Cricetulus griseus: one gene and its partner. The protein of the gene in region 2 binds, or shares a complex with, the protein of the main gene of each other region. Links are inferred from orthologs where the notes say so. Each region holds a gene or a part of one and is shown on either strand. Other genes may lie near its edges.

Evidence for each region.
Region 1: the proteins of Cct5 (region 2) and Dcaf12 are in contact, whole or in part, in a cryo-EM structure (PDB 8AJM), measured with the Homo sapiens proteins. The link is inferred for Cricetulus griseus from reciprocal best matches to the Homo sapiens genes CCT5 and DCAF12. Residues at the interface, in NP_036205.1 of Homo sapiens: Gly537, Glu538, Ser539, Glu540, Glu541; in NP_056212.1 of Homo sapiens: Lys91, Phe93, Lys108, His144, Trp186, Phe188, Arg203, Lys254, Arg256, Glu298, Val300, Arg344, Phe411, Tyr422, Leu440, Pro441, Ser442, Gly443.

What each region holds. Positions count from the first base shown.
Region 1 is NC_048595.1:101,286,591-101,290,401, reverse strand, and holds part of Dcaf12 (DDB1- and CUL4-associated factor 12), read right to left. Parts: intron 3,547-3,811; coding exon 3,353-3,546; intron 1,834-3,352; coding exon 1,768-1,833; intron 492-1,767; coding exon 329-491; intron 1-328. UniProt on the Homo sapiens protein: Substrate-recognition component of a DCX (DDB1-CUL4-X-box) E3 ubiquitin-protein ligase complex of the DesCEND (destruction via C-end degrons) pathway, which recognizes a C-degron located at the extreme C terminus of target proteins, leading to their ubiquitination and degradation.
Region 2 is NC_048595.1:361,724,836-361,729,216, forward strand, and holds the start of Cct5 (T-complex protein 1 subunit epsilon), read right to left. Parts: upstream 2,992-4,381; coding exon 2,887-2,991; intron 1-2,886. Other genes in the region: Atpsckmt (ATP synthase subunit C lysine N-methyltransferase), read left to right, coding at 3,377-3,428. UniProt on the Homo sapiens protein: Component of the chaperonin-containing T-complex (TRiC), a molecular chaperone complex that assists the folding of actin, tubulin and other proteins upon ATP hydrolysis.

The DNA of each region.
Region 1 (3,811 bases), about 260 Mb from region 2:
CATCACATCCAAAAGTGACCTCATACTCTTCTAATTCCTCCCCTAGTGCTGTTCAGTATATAAGAATTTTAGCTCAGGCAGGGACCCAACAAAAAGATCCCAGGGGAGTAGTGCTAACTAACTGCTTATCTCCTCACAGTGGTTCTACCAGAGGTTTCTACAGCCTGGACATTCTGTTGCCTCATGTATGTAATTAAGTTTCTCTCGTCTGTCACCAAATACTTCTACATGCTACATACTGTTCTTATTTGGAAGTCAAAGAAGAAACAAAAGGTGAAAACCCATTTGCAATGTAGCAGTAAGCCTGAAGGAACACACAGGGACTTACCACTGCCTCTCTCCCTGGAGCAGACAGACTTGACGTTGGACGATGGCTGCCGTGGATCCAAGAATGAGACATGCGCTTGAGAGCCCACTGCATACACTGACCATTCACTACCATAAGCCAGACATACATTCTCTCGACAATATGGCAATTTGGTGGAAAAGAGCTGCAAAGAGATACATTCATAACCAGCATAAAATGGGCATTCTTGTGCTCCTACCTCTGTGGGCTTCCTTTGCACATGAATTACCTACCTAAGCTAGTGACAAGACAAAGTAAATGAAGTAAGTTCTGGATTAGGAAAAACAGAAGGCTGGAATTAAATAATTAGAATGCCAGGAAAGGCAAGAACTATAGTTATCTCCAGGAACAAGCCCAGGGCACTAAAGCCTAAGTCTCACCTTGTTCATTCTGCGACATGACCACTACTCCTTGTTCTCTTCAGATAAAGGGACTAATTTCTAACCACCCTCAGCCAATTTCCCAAAGAAAAGAGAACTGTACACTAGAGACAGTGTACCCCCCAGGACTGACTCTATCCTAGTTAATCTGAGTCAGCCTGCATCTTTGACCCTGTGAAGTAGCAAACAGTGTCCGCCTGCTGTATGTAAGACGCTATGTAGGGCCAGTGGAGTGCAAACCTGCTATGACCCAATGGAACTATCCACTCCCAGAGCTTTGCTTTCTCTTTAGAAAACGCTTGTCACAGATATTATAAGTAGCGCAGACAAGACATGAACTCATGACCCACATATACACTTTATTGTATAAAAAAGCTGCTAGCAGATATTATTGATAAATCTGTTTTCTCCTAAATTGTGTTATTGCAATCTCAGCTCTTTTTAAAAGACTTTCCTGTGACTCTATCACTGAGGCTGAGAGAAGATCCCAAGTCCTAGACAAGCCAGGGCTACCTAGTGAGCTAACCTTTTAAGAAAGAAAAACAAAACAAACAAACATATTTAGATGCTGGGTTGTGATGTCACAAGCCTTTAATTCCAGTACTTGGGAGGCAGAAGCAGGCAGATCTCTGAGTTCCAGGCCAGCCTGGTCTACAGAGTGAGTTCCAGGATAGCCAGAGAGGGCTACATAGAGAAACCCTGTCTTGAGACATAATAAACAAAGGCCTTTTCTTGCTTAAGCATGTTGGTAGCATTCAGTATTTCCAGTCTTTGAGAGGTATTTTACAAGTGGGAAGATCACAATTTTAAGACTAGACCGGGCTACATAGACAGATCATGTCTCAAAAATAAATTTAAAAGATAGCCAGATTTTTCCTCAAGAGAAACATGCCAGACCCACAGCTTCATGTACTATGCAATTCTATTTCCAGACCTTGGGAGAAATGATGTTTTGAACAAATCCAACAGGACTCTGGGAGAATGATAGTATTATAAACCTATGGTAAATTATCATATACAACTACGAAGTCATGTTCACACCTTAGACAATGTATTTTCAGCCTTCCAGAGATGAAAGTAGCCATCCAGTGATACGGCTCCCAACTCCTACAAGAGCAATGAAAAAGAAGTTATAATATGATGTGCAGCAAACTAAAGCACCAGAACACACAGGGGAAGCCAGGCAGTGGTGACGCACGCCTTTAATCCCAGCACTTGGGAGGCAGAGGCAGGAAGATCTTTGAGTTCAGGGCCAGTGTGGTCTACAGAGCTAGTTCCAGGACAGTCAAAGTTGTTACACAGAGAAACCCTGCTTCAAAAAAATAAAAACAAAAAACCCACAGTTATCAAGGATGCTTTCACCTCACCCCACAGACTGCAGCAGGTAGTATATTCAATTCCACAAAGCAAGTGTAGCCTCTAACAATCACATGAACACACATCTGTGGGGGAAAATGTCCTTTCTATGTCACTGATTACCCCGACATCCTTAAAGCTGTCAGAGCAGAGTTCAAAGTGAAAGGCTGTTTTTCTCATTCCCAATGTGGGAGCTGTGGGTGCAGAGAGGAACCACCTTTCTTTCTTTCTTTCTTTCTTTCTTTCTTTCTTTCTTTCTTTCTTTCTTTCTTTCTTTTAAATCTTTTTTTATTTGAATTAGAAATAAGATTGATTTACATGACAATATCAGTTCCCTTCTCTCTCCCTTCCTCCCCTACCACCCCCCAACTAAAACCCTGCCTATCCCATACCCTTTCTTCTATTCTTCACCTGACTCAACCTTTCTGCTCCCTCATGACCTCTGCATCCTTCCTCTTCTCCCCTTCTCATTCTCCTAGCTCCCTCCCCCCTCTTCCAGTGCTCTCAATTTGCTCAGGGGATCTTGACCCTTTCCCCTTCTCCAGGGGACAATGTTTGCCTCTTTTAGGGTCCTCCTTGTTTACTAGCTTCTCTGGCAGTGTGGATGGTAGGCTGGTAATCCTTTATGTCTAAAATCCACATATGAGTGAGTACATATCATGTTTGTCTTTTTGTGATTGGGTTGCCTTGTTCTGAATTTCTTCTAGTGGAACCACCTTTCAAATCAGGGCCTTGTGCATGTGGTATACACACCCATGCACATATGCAGACAAAACACTCACAACACATAAATATTTTTAAAAATGAATCAAATTGGGACCTTTTTCAGATTTTGCAGAAGCCTGTCTCCTTTCTGGGCTCTGGGTCTAGTCTTAGGTCCTGTTACAACCTCACTGTCAGAAGACCTGGCACAGTGATTTAAGCGACACTAGTGGCAAGTGTGAGACAAAGGAAGCGGTGAAAAAATGAGGGGCTTACAAACAAGTGATTGGCTTTTAGAGGCGTGAAAATCAAATCCAAAGCAGAGCACCTAAAAAGGCACAAGCAAGTGAGGCACTGTCAGATTAGAGTGCTCTCAGGGAAACTGAACCAGCCACAAACATGGTCTATCCAAACAAACACAGCAGAGCCTAAGCCCGAGCTTCACAGCCCATTATAATTTCTCACCAGCATTCACGGCCTCTAAAGAGGGTGCCCTGTGAGTTTAAAGCCACATCACACAGCTGGCAGTGCCTTGGAGGAGAGAGGATCCCCCGAAATAAAGCCATACCTTGTTTTTGTTGTTGAAGGCTAACGCCCGCACCTTGCAGTTGTCTGGGTTTGTATCTTCCTTGGGGATATCCTTTAAGGCCTTGTGAGTGATATGAGCGTACACGGGGACTGGTGACACATTATGCCTTGCATCACTTTTGGTCAATACATCATCTGTCACCTCCCAGAGTCCCATAGAACCATCCCGTGAGCCTGCAGCGTAGGAGATTCACAGGTGTCAAATATTCTTAACCCTCTATGAGAAAACGCCACAGAAGATTACACAGGCTTTACTTTTCAACACACTGCCTGGCACTGAAGCTGGGCTCCATGGTCCACCACATATATTAGTATGCTTTCTTTTTTTGCTTTTTGTTTTTCAAGACAAGGTTTCTCTGTGTAGCCCTGGCTGTCCTGGAACTCACTTTGTAGACCAGGATGGCCTCGATCTCACAGAGATACACCTGCCTCTGCCTCT
Region 2 (4,381 bases):
CACTATTTTCAGAAGGAAAGCTCTGAATGGTGGCTAGGAATTAAGTACCAGTGACTCCATGGGGCTCAGAACACGGAGACTGATGTTCTGAACTGCTCTAGAATTCATCTTCCCCCCAAACCCTCGTTAACAAAGAGAGACCACACTTAGCTGTGAGAGACACTAGAGCAAGGATTGGAAGTGCAGCTCATTGGGAGAGTGACAGAGATGGCTCAGTGGTCAGGGTCACTTGCTCTTGCAGAAGACCCACGTGGCAGCTCCCAATGGCCTGTACTCCAGTGATCCGATGCCCTCTTCTGGCCTCCACAGGCACTAGTGTACACATACATACATGAAGGTACTCATACATACACACAAAATAAATCTAAAATAATAACCCAAACCGACACACAGACATCTCATTATCTCGAAAAGCTGCTTTTATCTTTACTACATAGTGGAGTTACAGGTACAACAAACTTGCTTAAAAGTAATGTTCTTTATGATTTAGTCTTAGTAAAGGTTTGATCTGTATGCCTGTTTTATATACATCTATACCCTGGGTCATATCTAACCTCACAGGAGCAGTGTTTATGTGACCATCACCCATGGGAAGCATATGGTACTTTTGTCTTCTTGGCCCCCTAAGTTTGTCAGAAGTTCTAGGAGATCAAGGGCCAACTACATGTCCCTAAACACATTCCAAGGGTCAGACCCAGATCATGCAATTTTAACAACACCCATACTATCATCCCTGCAGGCCCGAGCTTTTGACCCCTACACTCCAGGAATGCAACCACAACTTCACTGCAACATCTGGTCTGGTCCATTAGTTTTCATTGAAATTCTTCTAACTCAGGAGTTAATGTCAACAATCTCCTCAGATCAGAATTTACATTACTGTTATCAAAGTATTAACGGTACAAGCCTGAAAGAACCCTCCCCTGTTCCCAGACACACCTGGCTCTCATTTCCTTCAATGTCCTGTTCTCTTATTCTTGTCACCACTAAACTCAGATCAAAAATCACCCTACAGAGTTCTAAAACCACGTCCCATCCACTTCCTAGTTGCTAATTAACTCATTTTCTAGAGTCCCTTAACAATTCCAAAGGTTTAAAAGGACTCGTGGTGCCTTAATACTGGAGCTCAAAAGCAAAGCACTCCAGACTCTCCCTGTCGCTCTAACTTATCTTCTCAGCCCCAAGGTGCAGAGGGATGTAAACTTACCACAGAAATCTTGGATTTTCAGAACTGTGCAAGTACGCATGTTCATTAATGTCTCTCGTCACCTGTAGTGGCTGACTACACAACACCAAGTTCATTTTTTTCTTTGCACACTAGCAATTCTTTGAAAAGCACCACAAGGAAATGTCTCTGTGCCCAAGGATACCGGACACCTGAGCTTATTTTTGGTTGCCTAAACAGGTATGTATTGAGCAGAGGCCAACAGCTCAACGCTGTACACAGAACAGGTCTCTTCTACAAATAACCCGGCCCTGAATGGCAAGGGTGAGCTCAATGCTCTAGACCACTACCCTCGATGTGACTGGAGGCAGATTGAAGTCATGGCCCTTCTCTACCTTAGTGGCTATGAAATCTTTGTCAACTTCTCTATGACCCTGCCGTAAGTGCCTAATTCTAGAAGACCTATCTTGAGTGAGGACCACATGCAATAGCCCATGTAGTTAGCACAAATGGCAGACACAGCACAACTGTTAACATTAATCACACTGGTAAAATCTCTGCCTGTTGGAATGTTAATTTGCAAGTACCCTGAGGTAGGTAGGTAGGGTGTGTGTGTGTGTGTGTGTGTGTGTGTGTGTTTGTGTGTTTGGGGGTGGGGGAATGGAACTGAATAAGCAATGCATATGACCTGAAAAAAAGTTCCCCTAGAAAGGAAACAAAACCAAGCTTCTACAGTTGCCCTGTCCACTTCTTCAGTCACTCCAACACACCTGTCAAACCGTTGGCATGACAGGAAGTCCACGTTTGGAAACTAGGTCCAGAGAGGTCAGTAAGTGGGTGTGTTATCTTTAAGTTTAAATAAGACCCTAACACAGGTGAACAAGAGCACCTCAGACCTGGAGGCATGACAGGCACACACAAAACCCAAGATGCAACTCCTTCCTTCCTCTGCGTTTTCCGTGGCAACACCTGTCAACGACCGCCCCCCCCCGCCCCAAAGACAGGGTTTCCCTGTGTAGCTCACAGAGATCCTCCTGCCTCTGCCTCTCGAGTGCTGGGACTAAAGGTGTGCGCCTTCACTGCCAGGCTGACATTCTTATCTGGGGTTCTAGCCTTTTAAAAAAATTTTTTTAAATCCCTTTCCTTCTACAGGATTTTCCCTCGGTTCTGCCTTCCCTTGGGATAACTTCTTTGTTTCCCTGTGATGGGGTCCAAAGAGCTCCAAACTTGGGGAAGCATCCTAATCTGCAACCAGGAGTGCGTGCGCCCTCAAACTGTCTCCCTGTATTCCAAAAACCACGTTGTTTCCTGGCCCAAGAGGATGCAATGTCCCTGTGAACGCAATGCTCTGGCCCTTGCAAACGTGTGTGTATGTGTGTGTGTGTGCGTGCATGCGTGTGTGCACAGCTCCTTCCATCGAAGTCCAAAGAGCTCCCTCCGCTGTCATTTGTCATCCCTCCCTCCCGATTGGGGGGCCGGTGGCCCGCTCCCCGGGTGAGCGGGTGGGTGAGCCCCACCAGGGCGGCAGGCTGTGTCCCCACCACCTCCGGGCTGAGGCCTTCACCACTTCTCTCGCGCCCGCACAAAGGGCGGGGTGCACGCGGAGCCCACTCGACCTTGCGGGCCTGCACGTGGCCGAGCCGCTCCCACGCCGGCGCAGGCGCACAAGAGCGCTCGGGCCGCCTCCCTTCATCCCGCGGCCTCGCGTGCCAGGCCGTTACCTTGAGGGCCTCGAGTCCCATGAGACGGGACTTGCGGTCTTGATCCTTGATGATGAGAAAGGGGCGCCCATACTCATCGAAGGCGAGGGTCCCCACGGACGCCATGCTGGGCGAGCTGCAAGAGACGCTTTCCGACAACCGGCACGGACCGCTCGGGACTAGAGAAGGCGCCTTCCTCTCGCGAGAGAACGCAAAGTCTCACGCGCGTGCGCAGCACGGGCCGCCCGAGATTTCTTTCTTTCCAACTGTGACTCTTTTAACGCCGCCGAGTACGCTCCGCCGCTCTTGGAAAGTTCTATCACCCAGGAAGTTGGGGGGGAGATTCCAAAACTCGGAAGTTGACTTTTAGAACCCAAATGCTAACACTGGCCTCGATCCAGCCACTTACTCGAGGTTTTGATTTCCGAGAGTTTCTGAATACGGAGTCGCAGCAGGGAGTTAATTTCCCTAAGACGTTTTTCCCTTTTATTCCCACCCCGGCTTCTGGAAGATGGTACGTTCCACTTCCGGTATCCCCGGAAGTTTCGCGATGGAGAGAGGAGGTGAGGTTCGGTCGGCAAGGCGGCGGCGGCGGGTTCCTCCGCTGGCTGGCTGTGGTCGTGCGTGGGTGGGGCACGGGTGAGCGGCCGGCAGCGGGCGTGGTCGCGGGCGCCCGTGGGTGGGGCGCGGGTGCGCGACCGGCAGCGGGCGTGGTCGCGGCCGCGCGCGGATGGGGCGCGGTCTGCGCCTGCGCCGTCCTGCACGCCCCTGACGGTTGCTCACTCATCCCGACCCCGAGACTCCAGGCTGCTGGACTTCCGGCGCTGTCGTGGACTAGCTTTTTCTTTGAAGTCACTGGGCCTGCAGTTTTGCCTTGTCTGCAAACATAGCAGTAATAAGTGCTGCCTACTTGACAGGGCCGTTGAGGAAGCACAGTGCCTGCTCGTCAGCACGCAGTATTTTTTGTATTTAATCATGCATGCGGTGCTCTGTCTGCAGCATATATTCCAGCAGGCCAGAAGAGGGCACCAGATCTCATTACGGATAGTCGTGAGCCACCATGTGGTTGCTGGGAACTGAACTCAGAACCTCTGGAAGAGCAGCCAGTGTGCTCTTAACCTGCTGAGCCGTCTCTCAGCCCCAGCAGTATGTGTGTTCTTAGCTCCCCACGTTATACGGGTCCTGCGACTTGCCCGCGGGTAGACTGCTAGGTGGAGACGATGCAGCACTCCCGGCCTTGGGTTCTGTCTCTTAATCCCCGGCGTGTTGCTGTTAGAACGCTAATTGAGCTGTGCATAGGCCCGAAATCGCCATCCATTGTATAAGCTTGGATTGGTTACAGATTTCCACCCTTTCTACCTGTACTGTCTGTCTCTGCTGTATTATCGAGTTTTATTAGGTACTTACTCAAAATTAGAATGCGTGCAACAGCACAGACCTGAAAACCTGCCTGCTGTCACACAGTTGCTGATTTGTTAATCTTGCCTAATGCCAAGTCCTCTGTCTCCTAGACTCA